Linked DNA regions of Neodiprion lecontei. The protein of the gene in region 2 interacts with the protein of the main gene of each other region in a pairwise test. Links are inferred from orthologs where the notes say so. Each region holds a gene or a part of one and is shown on either strand. Other genes may lie near its edges.

Region 1 (7,008 bases), on a different chromosome or scaffold from region 2:
AAACTTTATTGATTACGGAATACCTTTGAAGTGATGTAGAAGATTCGTATTTACATGACTCAACCCACGGTCAACTCAGCTTACCGCCGTGTTTATGTTTCACGAATAAATGTTACAGACACTAATAGTAAGCCCACGAATGAACCTGCAGTCAGTATTATACACATGTCACGAGTCGTGAAGAGCCCGAGAAGGCACGACTTAATTTTTCCGAACATCCGTGCGCTTTAATTCTTTTCCGAATTAATGAATCAGCCGAAGTATTAAACATGATATCGCATCTTTCGACAAACGTATCAACGCTTCGGCGCGCGACTGCGATCTTGTCTCAAAGCCGACAGTCAGCTGTTCAATACAGTCCAGCTAGATGACAACACACTTTGCAACGTGAATATGATCGATATTCTCGAAAACTTACCGACACGAAGTAAGGTGATGTTCCCTGACATGTTGACACAAAGATTGTTCGAATACCAACTTGAACATGGTAGACAGTGTATTCCCAGTAGGGTCCGTTTTGTCCACAGTCATGTAAACTGGATAAATCTACGGAGGATCAAAGGTAGTAAAACCAGTTCAGGTTTAACCACGGTCCCGTGACTTAGTAAAAACGTGGTAAAAACATACAGGGCTCTGCCCATTGCATTGCCTAAGCGGTCGCGACTCCCTATCGCCTGCTTGATACAAAAGTATGACTTAACCAATAAACGAGTTATTGAAAATAAAACACTCTGCAAATATATTGAAGTTGAATTTCGTACGTAACTCTAATTAACCGTTATATTTGCCACTTTGACGAATGCATCTCACGCTCTATTGACAATTCTCATGTAGAATTCATGTGAAAATTCATATCAGAACCTTATACGTGAGTTTATAAAGCAACGAATGAAAATCTAGACTTTTTAAGTACAATCAACGAACAATCTTCGCTCGTCGCGGCGATATTAAACACATATCGACGATTATAAACAATGCAAAGCAATCCATTTCATCTATAATAAAAATTCAACGAACAATATGAATTAAGAAACGATCAACAATCGACGTCTGCACGACAATAATGTACTTAATAAAAACAATTAATCGTGTGACGTATGAAAAAATTATTCAAAAAATTACGTATTATTGTTCACCATGTAATAGGTCTGCTGAACATACCGCATTAAAAAAAGCACCGAATGCTCTACTGCTTGCGATTGTGTGGAACACATAATTCATACACTATTCCAAAAATTTGTTTCCATTTCGTTGTAGTTTTACAAATTTTTAGATTAGCTGATACACTTATTTGCCAAACGTACAAATTTAATAAATTAGACCCCCATCTAAGACATTTTCAATCAATATTTCCGACTTCGGAAATACAATACAAAAAAAAAATGGGAGACTATGAAAACTTCAAAAAAGTCGTATAAACTTCAATTATTTCAGATTATTGTAGTCTGTTATTTTCGCAGATTATAATTTGTCTATTTTCAGATGTGTGATGACAGTGTTAAGCAAGTTTTCAAATGTTGTCACATTAAATTTTCGTTATTAGTATTCAAAAGGTAAGTGGGTGAGGAGCCATCTTAGCGATCTGAAAGCTTCTTTATCGGCGGGTGGCATACGCAATCCCACAACGCCCGTTTCCTTCGAAACAGTTTAAACAGCGTTCATTTTTTTGTATATAGTTGGGGATAGGCTGAACTTAGTTTAAACTTCGATTAACGTGGGAGAGATCGGGCCTAAGTCAATGCCATGTCAATGCTACGTCAATGCTGTAAGTCTTTAGTCAACACGGTCAACACGGAAGATAACAGTCCCATCCCCTTTCATAAAAGGTAGTCTTCAGTTAGCGACGCCGTGGGCACGAGAAACGCGAACACGCATCTCTCGATTCTCTTGATTCCAAGACTATTCTAAAAATGGGAAAGTCTACTGTCTAGTGACGAATCAAAGCGCACTCTGGTTTTCGCAGTTTGAACATTTGTACCGCAAACAAAGTCCCCCCAATTTATTTCCTGCTAGTGCGTCTCAAGTTGAGAAGTGAAGGTTATTTTCTGCCTATTTTGATTTTCACGTAGATTTTTATCGGTTTTCAATATACTCTAACTACTGCTATGTTATCCAGTGAAAAAATACCGTCTAATGTAACTAATAACTATTGAAAATACTGAGATATCTTTTTTTCTCCTACGGCTTTCCAGTGTCAACTGAAAACATCCCAAATCAGATATTCTTGCTCTTTATTAACTCAATTATTTTAAAATTTCACGTGGAATATTTTGAGTTAATTATCTCACCCCCCACTTAGGTCTTCCATCATAAATATCCAACCTGTGTTCTGTAATTAAACTGTGCTTAAATTTACTACATCATATTGGTATTGAAAACTTATCGCGTCATTTGTGCTCTTACTCAGCGCAGCCCGAGCAGGCTTGGTGAAAAATAGCATCTCGTGGCTTCTGCCAATCATCACTCAGTTTTCAAGAGTTATGCATTTAAATGAAAGAGAATATCTTGTGTAAAGGTTTTTTTAATTATCATCCATCACTCGATTAGATTTCCTTGTTTCTCTTAATGTACAGGCTTTTTTCAAGCGCAACGTCTAGTATTTAACTGTATGACGTGTATTTAGGGTAATTCTATACTATTGAACTTAATTTTGATTTTACTCATATTCAGATAGCTCGCTTTCAAAATGGCACAGCGTTTTCCTGTGCCAAATACAGGAAATAATGGCCCACCATCACAGCGATACCCTCCTCCTTCCGTACCACCAAATCTGAGACAATATTCTGGCCCCAACTTCCCGGTAGGCAAGGTTAATTTTGATTCTTTATTATTTACTAACTACTAAGTCTCTCTCTCTTTCTCAAACTACAGCGAGCAACTTTAAATTCACTCGAGTTATTATGATCCAATACTTTAATTGAAAAAAAAAATGATTTTTCGTGGCAATTATTATTAGAATATGACGGCTGAGGTTTTCTCTATTTGTAACATTTTTAAATTTGAAAAAACTCCTTTGTATCCAAATTGTCTACTGTTCTTTGGGTGAATGTCTCTTTACGCAGATGCAGCAAAGGTCAGGTTTTACCCCACCTCCACAAATGGGCAGTGGAGGCCCAGGACCTGGAGGAATGATGAGGCCAAACCAGCCATACACTAATATGCGCCAAGGACCTATGCCCACACCTCCAGGAAGCAAAAGATCTACTGAGCAACGGATACCAATATCTCAGCAAAAACCGTGAGTCCATTTTATTTCTATAATCTTAGATGTAATGATTATTATTGCTCATTTTTTGAACATACCATGTAATTTACAACATTTCTTTGTATGCTTGTAACATTATAAAGCAAGTGAATGTTCAATTTGTCAATTTATAAAGTTATATGATGCTTATGGTACTGAAATTCTTTGCTAAGTCTTTTTCGTTACTGTGTTTTTTTGTACGTTTTTCATGGTACAAGCCCTCACTGTTCTGGATTAGAGCTCAAACTAAGGTACAAAGTTTTTACCAGGCGATGCAGCCATCGTCATAACTAATTTTTACAAAAATCTTTTCAAAATTAATTTTGATTTTTGAGCTATGATTTTTCACGCAAACTCACTAGGTATTTTTGGAACAGTGATTTCTCACATTCCACATCGAAGAAGAAGAAGAAACTGGCAGACAAAATTCTACCTCAGAAAGTACGCGATCTTGTACCAGAGTCACAGGCGTACATGGATTTGCTTGCTTTTGAGCGTAAACTTGATGCTACCATTATGCGCAAACGTTTGGACATCCAAGAAGCCCTGAAACGTCCTATGAAACAAAAACGAAAGTTGAGAATCTTTATATCTAATACTTTCTACCCAGCTAAAGAAGCTGGCGAAGGAGAAGAAGGTTCTGTTGCTTCGTGGGAACTTCGGGTAGAAGGAAGACTTCTCGATGATACAAAAAATGACCCCAACAAGGTATCAATGAGCCCAACATTTTCGTATTATACTGGGAAAAGCGGCATACATGTTTTGGGTTGTTTCATAGGTCAAGAGAAAATTTTCATCCTTCTTTAAAAGCTTGGTAATAGAGCTAGACAAAGACTTGTATGGGCCAGATAATCATCTGGTTGAATGGCATCGTACGCTGACAACTCAAGAGACTGATGGTTTTCAAGTTAAAAGACCTGGTGATAAGAATGTTAGATGTACAATTTTGTTGCTGCTTGATTATCAACCACTGCAGGTACATTTTATCATTAAAACATATTCAAATTGTATCAAGGTGGCGACTGACCGAGTAATCCGAGAAAACCAGAAATAGTCGGGGAGTTCCGTCTATCGGGAAAAGTCAGGGAATTATGATGGTCTACAGGAAAGAAACTGTACTTTTTTGATAAATTGTTTTCAAACTTCAACTAGGCTTGGTAAATTAAGTTAAGCTCGCTTTTGGAAATGTTACTGTGCAGTTTTTACACACACACATACACACGCGCGTGTACATAGCTTTTAGTCATAAAAACCACCCAACATTACCTGAGCTTCATGAAAAAAGGTCAGGGAATTTTAGTCGAGCAAAGTTGTCGTCACCCTATGTATGTAAACATCTAATTATGTGTAATAATTGAGACCCTACGTGCAACAGCAACTTAACTCGAGTTAAGATTTGGACAATGAAATATTGAAAATTATGATCTTATGGGTGTGTAGTGATATCAAAGGTTAGGACAATTTCGTCAAAACAAAAAACGATTGATTTTTTTTATTAAAACACCTGTACATCAGTTAACAAATACTTTATTCATATTTCATTGTCCAAAACTTAACTCGAGTCAAGTTCTTGTTGCATGCAGGGGTTCAATTGACTTATTGCCAATTTTGCAGTTCAAGCTCGACCCTCGCTTAGCTCGCCTACTTGGTGTTCATACACAAACTCGACCAGTCATCATCTCCGCTCTCTGGCAGTATATAAAAACACACAAACTTCAAGACGGACATGAACGTGAATTTATAAACTGCGACAAATATCTGGAGCAAATATTTGCTTGTCCTAGAATGAAATTTGCTGAAATACCTCAACGCTTGAACCCATTACTTCATCCGCCAGATCCAATTGTTATTAATCATGTCATTAGTGTAGAAGGTACGTACAATAATAATCATTGAGCATCTTCGTAAATGAATACAGTTTGATTGACAAAATTGTTGTATGGAGTACATCAGCTTTTAATCTGTCAAACTTTTCAATTGATTTCAAATGTGGTTGTTCCTCGATTTGAAGAATATGAATCCAGGTATAATACTAATTCTTGCTCCATTGCCATTAAAACATTTTCATTTAGGTACAGAGACAAAGCAAACCGCGTGTTATGATATCGACGTTGAAGTAGATGATACGCTCAAGACCCAGATGAACAATTTCTTGTTGTCGACTGCAAGTCAGCAAGAAATTCAAAGCCTTGATAATAAAATTCACGAGACAGTGGAAACTATAAACCAGTTGAAAACAAATCGTGAGTTCTTTTTGAGCTTCGCAAAGGACCCTCAGCAGTTTATCAACAAGTGGATTATATCACAGACTAGAGACTTGAAGACAATGACAGATGTTGTTGGCAACCCCGAGGAAGAGCGTAGAGCTGATTTCTACTATCAGCCTTGGGCCCAAGAAGCAGTATGTCGATACTTTTACACTAAAGTTCAACAAAAGCGTGCAGAGTTAGAACAAGCTCTTGGAATTCGCAATTCATAAACCTCAAACTATCCCATAATTGCCAACGGTATCGTCAGTTAGGCATGCAATTGCCAACCAGTACACTTTCCTGAAGGACACGGTTTAATATGATAATTTTTTATGTGCTCATGCATAATTAAGGCGAACGATCCAAATGATTAAAAGAGTTCTGTGAATTTTTTTACATGATTATAACAATTAAATTCAAATCGAATGAATTATAGCCAAAATTACCCAAATATAACTTTTATTGGCACGGCATTACCAATTTATTATACTACGTCAGGTGAATATGACTATTGCCTCAAGTACAAGTCAGGAAGGTAAAAAGCAGTAATACGATTATATAAAAATTGTATTACACTTTATAAATGTAATAAAAACCATACCATAGATAAAGTCGAACTTTTAACTGTGGATTATACTGCGTATTACCACAAATTTCTGATTATTGATGCTATTCAAATTAAGAAATACGTCAACGAGGTCTGCTGATGCAACTTTTTAATCATATTTAATAATCTTTCAGAAATGTATCGTGAACATTTAACAGTATTTATAACATTTAATATTTTTGCTAATTTCAATTTGCCTCCGTGCATTCAATGTCACTAGATTCATCATCAATACAGTCACATTATTGAAACCCATACCTTTGTGGTACATTCACAATATTAATTGAAGTAAAGTATGTGACTCTTTCACCGGGTATACAAAAAATAAGTCATGATTATACACATTATAGCAAATAAATAATATTGAGATACAGCCGATAAATTTTTGTGTTTGATATCGTCCTCTTGACAACATGAACTCATTTTTTAGTTCTTATATCTGATGCTGCTGAAGTTCGTAGTACTCTGTAATTATTGGATGAAAAAGTTGTAATAAAGCGAGCGAATTCTGTTTGGTGTTTCAAACATTAATTATTTGTCATATTTGTATAGTAAATAGTTTTACAGGTTTAATGTAGAGTATCAGAATAATCTACAGATTTCCACGAAATTTTTTCGTACGGAAAGGATGTCTCAAAGTGGACCAATCACACTCACACAGGGGTCAATTTACAGCGGTTATCATGATGCATGGAAGGACCTGTTGTAGCTTGGAAGGCCTGTTTCAAGGTATTCTCTATACACAGTAAAGTGAGGATGACAAATCCTTTGTCGCTCAAAGTGCTTTTAGGAGATCTTGTGTGCATTCCTTCATACAGTGTGTGATATTCCAGAATCTGCTCCAAATTCGGATTTTCTTCCTATAGACTATACGTTTCTCAAAATTAGGTATTTGTGAATGAAAACTT
Region 2 (6,764 bases):
CCAAGAACAAGAGAGGAAACATTTGACCGATAGTGTCGGACTGTAAAGAATCTGTGTAACCGAGCGTTGTTTCCCGCCCAGAAGTGACGGAGGCCTTCTGACGTACATCTACTCTTATAGATCTAATGGGGCTTCTTACTACGAAGCCATATCCAGACTAATGCGATTATACTATTGAATAAGTCTCTTAACAGGATCGGAATATAGGAATTTCAAGAAATTGGCTCGCTTTGTGACGTCTTCCATCCCATTCTATGACAATTTCTTTCTCCATTCTTCAGAGTCTGCGACAACAGTATCTTAGAATAGTTAAAGTACTCTTCAGTGAACTAAGAACTAGAGCTACTTTCATTAAGATCATACTTCAGTATTTCAAGCCGTGTTTAGAGGGGTGAAACGATTCGAAATCGAATTTCTATTGATAATTAGATCTACATTGATTATTTGCGTTGGAACGTTTTACAAGAGCGGGCTAAAATTTTTATACAAATAGAAGCATAGCAAAAGTGGATGTGGAATTATTTATAGATAGTCAGATAAAGATCAGTCTTAAGGTTTATATTTATTTCATTAATAAGTGTTTACATAATATTAATATGGAGGTATTTTTAATCATTGAAATCAAATCTTCCCTGATTTCTCCCAAGGAATTTACCTTAGCTGTTTTCTTCATCGTTGCTTCTTAATATAATCATTATTAATCATTAGTATTAGGTATTATTCATTATTCAATATACTAACTAAATTTATTTGTATTTCTTTTTGTTTTTTTTTTTCGTTTTGTTTTTCCCTTCCATATTTATACATCATTCATAATTTTTTTTCTCTTCACAATATTGTAACTTATTCTTCCTTGTCATCAGGATACATTTATGCTGCTTGACGAAATACTACGTACAATTTCCATTTTTTTATTTATTTACGTTTCTTAATATTAAAATTATTATAACGTACAGTTCGCGCAATAACTTTTGTTGATTTCAAGACTTACACAATCATTAATTTACATTTATTACCTAAGGTTTTACAATAGCTATGACAGTTTATCTGGTTTTCAGCATAGTCTTGCAGGAGTAATAAGATAATTGTACAAGTATTTAATCCCTTGTTGTACTACGATAAATACGAGTCGTTTTTCAAAGGATCGCAGTGTTTCTCGTTCCACAAGTTTTTCTTAGCTCAACAAAAGTTACTATGCTATCACTTGAACTAAATACAGTAATAAGATCAGAAGATGTGGCATTCTTGCCTGGTATTGAATAACAAGGTCGTCACTACGCCCCAAAATTCAAATATTATTGGCGAATTGTATTTAACTACTTTTTGTTCTCCAGTCAACTAGTTTCAAGTATCTGTTGATCGAACGAATAAAACTTAACGAATTTCAATTTGGCAAATAACGAAGCACGGCTCCTTAAATTTTCATTCAACAAAAAAAAAATAACTGTTTTCATAAACTCCTCATACTCTTTTGCTAAGTCTCTTCCTTGATACTTAGAATTCATCTTTCGTTCAATTGTTGAACGGCGTGAATAGCAGAGAAATATATATGGTAACCAAGACGAACTATCATTATCGGATTCATCTTGAGACAATTATGCGCCTAATTTATACCTATATATATGAATAGTATGTATACGTAAAAAAGAAAAAAAACGAACATCGCATATGTAGAATCATTATCAACTAAAAATAATTTTTTTTTCCAATATTATTTTTCTTTTTTTTTTAATTACGATGAATAGTAATAAGTAATAATTATAGCAGTGTTGGGTAATTGTAATAAATATGTCTAATAATAGGCACAGTAAATGTATGGGTAATAGTATGTATATTCATTATTCTGCATTTAATTTCATTATGCTATGGCAAGTTGCTGTTGTCAGGGAAAAAATTATAACAACAACAATAATAGTAGTAATAATAATAATAATAATAATAATGACAATAATGTGAAAACAGTATCAGTTCTTTTTGAATTTTCGCCCTAGCATGGTGCACAGTTCTTTTTATAAATTTTCTACTTCTTCAAACGCGTATAATTTAAGAATACACTTATAAATGCTACATTTCAATAAGAAGGAAAAATCAAAGAGAAAAAATAAAGCAAGGATGAAAAATTTATCTACCAGCAGAAAACTTTTGTTTAAAGAGGGAAAGGTCAAGATGACAAATTAAAAGCTCTAATAAAAGTATGAATGCAATACCCCGAAATAAGGGAATATATTCGTTAAAAAATACATTCTTTATAATTTTGAGATTGACCTAATAACATAGCATTACAAAAACGTATATACCTATATATCACCATCCAAATATGCAGATTTTACTTGTTATTATAATTGCGAGAGTAGAGAAATAAAAATATTAGAAAATGATTATAACATAATCAATTGTTGCAAGAGAAATTTCATCGGGACTGACGAAATCAATAAATCACGTTACACCTTAGATTTCACATCATTGATCGATATTCAAAGTAACTCTGACCACCACCAATCTTATTCCGTACGTTACTAATTGTTGTGGATCAGTTGGGAGAAATTGATGTTACAATCGATCGTATGTAATCAGATCCTTATCGAGAGGCTTTACAGTTGATTTGCAAAAATTGGTTTCAGGAAATTCGAAGAGTAGGAAATTCACACCACCACGGTGTATGTAGTATCAATACCAGATCACATGTATGCAATTTATTTACAAATACTTTTATACTTGTGCTACTTTAGCTTTGTAAATTTTCTATTTGATTCCCTGATAACAGCGTACTTTGAAAACCGGATGGTACAAATATGGTTAATTTAGTAGTATACGTTGTCGATTTTTTTTAGTCTGGTCGCTCTCCGCAAGTGAGCCTACTTCTATAACTTACTTTCCTATATACGCATATATATACATATATGTCAGGGTACACACACACATATATATATATATACGCACACCTCATTACCTTTTTTGAAATGTTTTTATTTATTGATATTTTTGTTAAATTATTTAATTATGTTTTTTGTTGCATCTGTTTATTTTATACTTCGAATGAAATTACTTTTCAAATTTAATCAACCCATGTCTCCACAGCGAGGTAACATCACCGCGCATTTCTTCCCTCATAACTCCAAGCAAAATTATTTTCTCACTTATATCATAGAAATCTGTAATGAGAAAACCACTAGAGTATCTTTTGACAATAACAATTGAATCATTCGCCGCATTACCTAGACGATTATCATGTAAAGTCACGATTCAACTTTACAGAATATACATGCTAGGATACTTACCTAACGTTCTTTGAAGAAACACATCCGTGGAAGTGGCAAATCTCCTTTAGGACAAATCTACAAATTTATCAAACATTAGAAAAAACACAATGCATGTGAGTCACCAGTCTTGAAATCAGGAGTTTACAAGTTTACAAGTTTCCAAGTATTCAATAACTCACAACTCGGTGCAGCCGCAGATTCAAATCTCTTCTGAATCTGATCATAGGTGAACTTAACGAATGCGTCATACTGCTCGGAGAGCTTCATGTTGAGAATCTGGTCATATTCTTCTCGGATCTGCGTCTCCTGTTCCTTCAGCATCCGCTCGCAGATCAATCCCACCTAAACACAAGTTGGTTAACCATTATTTGTAGCAAATAAACGATCTCACAATTATGTCGATATCCATTCATTCTTTATTTTGAAAATACACCCACCTGTCTAAATGTGAACAGTGGTTTTTCTTTGCCGCTTGGGCTATGACTGTAAGCACTAGGCCCACTAGTCGATGGACTGGCTGGACCTTCAGTATCTGAAGAATCTCCACCATTGTTGTTTTGCGGGTTGAAATGCAGCTGCTTGCGCCGGTGAAGCCTGCGGATCTCTTCTCTAATATTGGCAGCCATTTTTTCTATGAAAACATTTTACGGCATTGGTGTAAACAATTCAGATACCTGACCTCAGTTTCTTAGACTGAATAACCAAGCCTGACGGATCGCAATCACAATTGCAACCAGGCATTGTTTTGATTGATGATGTTCAAATAACGGATTGTGAAATTACTTGAAAATAATAAATAAGAAAACCGAAACAATATTAGGTCTTTGCAACATCATTTCCAAGTTATTGGTAATGGCTGAAAGAGGTTAGTAAGAAGGCTTAGTTCTCATGTAAATGTACAAGTTGAGTAACAAACTCCATGCATTCATTCAAAATTTTCACAGTTATGCAAATAGTAAAGTTGCAATAGTCTGCCTTTACGGTGGTCGAATTTTGATGGGTATTTTCAATAGATTCGTGGTAACGCATCAGACTGAGCATGGAAATGCTAATATTATGTCTGATGAATACGTAAATGAAGATTACAAACATACGATTCGGCTTGGTCCTTTTTCTCCCGTTTCGAACTTCGACATTATTGAATGAAATAATGCCTGGGTACGCAAAACTCACACAATGGGGAATTTTTTTTTAGTGACATAGAAGCGCGTTTGAACACCGAGGTGATGAGGGGAATTGTCGAATGAGAAAAAACTTTGTGAAGAAAAACGGTCATTCTAACGTATATTTCAAATTGCGCGATGAGTGGAGGAAAACCAGTTTGAAAGCTGTTTGTAAAAATAGTGAAAATCAGCAGCGACCGTTACGTCGGTATCTCCATATGATTTGCGCTCCCCTCACCCCACTTCACGCCTCCGGCCATAGTATATACGGGTTTTAAATCGCTATACATCTACGTTTGCAGCTAGCTTCCCCCTTTAACACCCCGTGATAAAAAAAAAAATGGCCGAATATAATTACCAGGCGTCAATTTTTGTGTAACTTCGCCGAAAGCTGATGGGTTCTGATTCCTCGCCGGCGGTGTGTTTGGCGACATGCACATCGGTACGCATCTTCGCCTCTTCGAAGGCCTTACGTGGCTGTGAACGGGGTCGAACTCGAGTGATCGCTTCAGGGTGGCGCAGGCCATTTTTACTCTTCACAGTCTCGTACGCGACTGACACCAAAAAATCGCCGAGGAACCGCAAAAGGCGTTTTATTTCCCGAAAATATATCGGTACTACAAATTGCACAGTATTCCCTTTTCGTTTAGCGGTCTCGTCGAAGACTTTCGACAAGTTTCCAGGCTGATTCAACTGGATTTTAAGACTGGCCACCGCAGCACCAAAACAAACACTGCAGTAAAACAATATGGCCTCCTCCGTCGTCACTTCGTCAGCCGCAGCGACTTGAACATTTTCCATAACGTTTACCTAGCCTAGTCTGCCATTGGTCATCTCTCCGCGTTTTCTCATTGGTCGAGCCGTTGCATCGTGCGTCACGACGCAGCTGCATCGATAAGGAAGGGCAGGGGTGGCCGATCGAAACGGTTCATTCGATATTCAGCCTACGGCAGCGCCGGCAATAGTCACGTGGTATGCAGATGCAGCTGTCAGCTGTCGCACGTGACTGACGCAAATTGCACGCACGCGTTAAAGATGCACGGAATGGCAAAAAATCATATCTCGACCAACTGACTGCAGAGAATGATGCTTGCAAATGCAAAGAATAGATTTCGAAACTGGGCAGAGTTAAAAATGAAAATAGAACGCTGAAAAAATGCGCGATAAATTGACATCCGCTCAAGGATAATTTGAATTTTCATCGATTTGCAAAACAAACTTCTTCGAATCTTTTAGGATTTGCAGGATCGATTTTGAAACGATAATCTGAATTTTTCGAATGTGCTGCACAATTTACTTGTGTGAAAACACTGTTTGAAGAACTAAAAAACTTGCCTCGACCGTAACAGGACTCGAACCTGCAATCTTCGGATCCGAAGTCCGACGCCTTATCCATTAGGCCATACGGTCTGTTGATAGTCTAGGCCGTAGAATTGTACGTATCTTCATGATAAAAATTTCTTTAACAACCTTGTGCAAATTCAGCCCTACAGGAACAAAATCAATATAAGTTTCCGTACGACATATTTAAAATATAAAATGATTTGCATGTGATAAATTTGAAGATCATTTATTGTTTTACAAAGGCCTGTGAGGAACTGTATTGTTACAAAAAATCATTTCAATCTTTAATTTAAGGTCCTGTGACAGCCTACCCTTACCGACCAAGCAAACTCATCCCTTTTTTTCCAATATTAAATCAACAAATGAACGGAAAGGCTTGAAGTTTCGACGATGCATCGCTCTTTCATGGCGGAATTCAAAAATGTTACTCATATCTTGAAAAGCATTAAATAGATGAGTGGTTTTTTGAAACACGTTACTATTTAAACAGTTCCCGCATTTCAAGGGCCAATAAGTGCACAGTTGAGATACCTTCCGCAATTCTAGAAAGGATGAGGACTAAAATAAGCCATCGTGAGACTGTTTTCATGTAATATTGAAGTCGCTATACGAAAACTAGGGATACAAATAATTTCGTAAATAAAAAATGCTCTAGCGATCAGCTGGGCGCGAAGTTCCTTGGTTGGTATGGTCGCCCCAGCACAGCATGAGAGCGTCTTTTATCTACAAAATTACCGTAAATCCTAGTTTTCGTTGAGCGGCCTTAATATTGCATGAAAGCAGTCTTGCGATGTCTCATTTTATTTCTCATTCTTGCCGGAATTGCGGAAAGTATCTCAACCATGCACTTTTTGGCCCCTGAGATGCGAGAAATGTTGAAATAGTAAAATGTTTAAAAAAATCACGTTTTTGATGATTTTTGGAATACGAGTAACATTCCTGAATTCCGCTACGAAAGAATGATGCACCGTCGAGACTTGAACCCCTTCTGTTTATT

The links.
Region 1: the proteins of akirin-2 (region 2) and brahma-associated protein of 60 kDa interact in binary tests that used the Drosophila melanogaster proteins (3 or more experiments, as listed by UniProt). The link is inferred for Neodiprion lecontei from reciprocal best matches to the Drosophila melanogaster genes akirin and Bap60.

Annotation. Positions count from the first base shown.
Region 1 is NC_060261.1:37,097,582-37,104,589, forward strand, and holds brahma-associated protein of 60 kDa, read left to right. Parts: upstream 1-1,743; 5' UTR 1,744-1,765; intron 1,766-1,804; exon of another isoform or gene 1,805-1,826; intron 1,827-1,901; exon of another isoform or gene 1,902-2,135; intron 2,136-2,670; 5' UTR 2,671-2,686; coding exon 2,687-2,809; intron 2,810-3,062; coding exon 3,063-3,238; intron 3,239-3,462; coding exon 3,463-3,495; intron 3,496-3,606; coding exon 3,607-3,952; intron 3,953-4,022; coding exon 4,023-4,220; intron 4,221-4,858; coding exon 4,859-5,117; intron 5,118-5,316; coding exon 5,317-5,723; 3' UTR 5,724-6,482; downstream 6,483-7,008. UniProt on the Drosophila melanogaster protein: Involved in the recruitment and site-specific anchoring of the Brahma complex at specific promoter sites.
Region 2 is NC_060263.1:15,142,483-15,149,246, forward strand, and holds akirin-2, read right to left. Parts: upstream 5,202-6,764; 5' UTR 4,951-5,201; coding exon 4,782-4,950; intron 3,892-4,781; coding exon 3,698-3,891; intron 3,603-3,697; coding exon 3,440-3,602; intron 3,336-3,439; coding exon 3,325-3,335; 3' UTR 3,279-3,324; intron 3,153-3,278; 3' UTR 538-3,152; downstream 1-537. Other genes in the region: arrestin homolog, read right to left, coding at 1-22. UniProt on the Drosophila melanogaster protein: Molecular adapter that acts as a bridge between a variety of multiprotein complexes, and which is required for embryonic development and for normal innate immune response.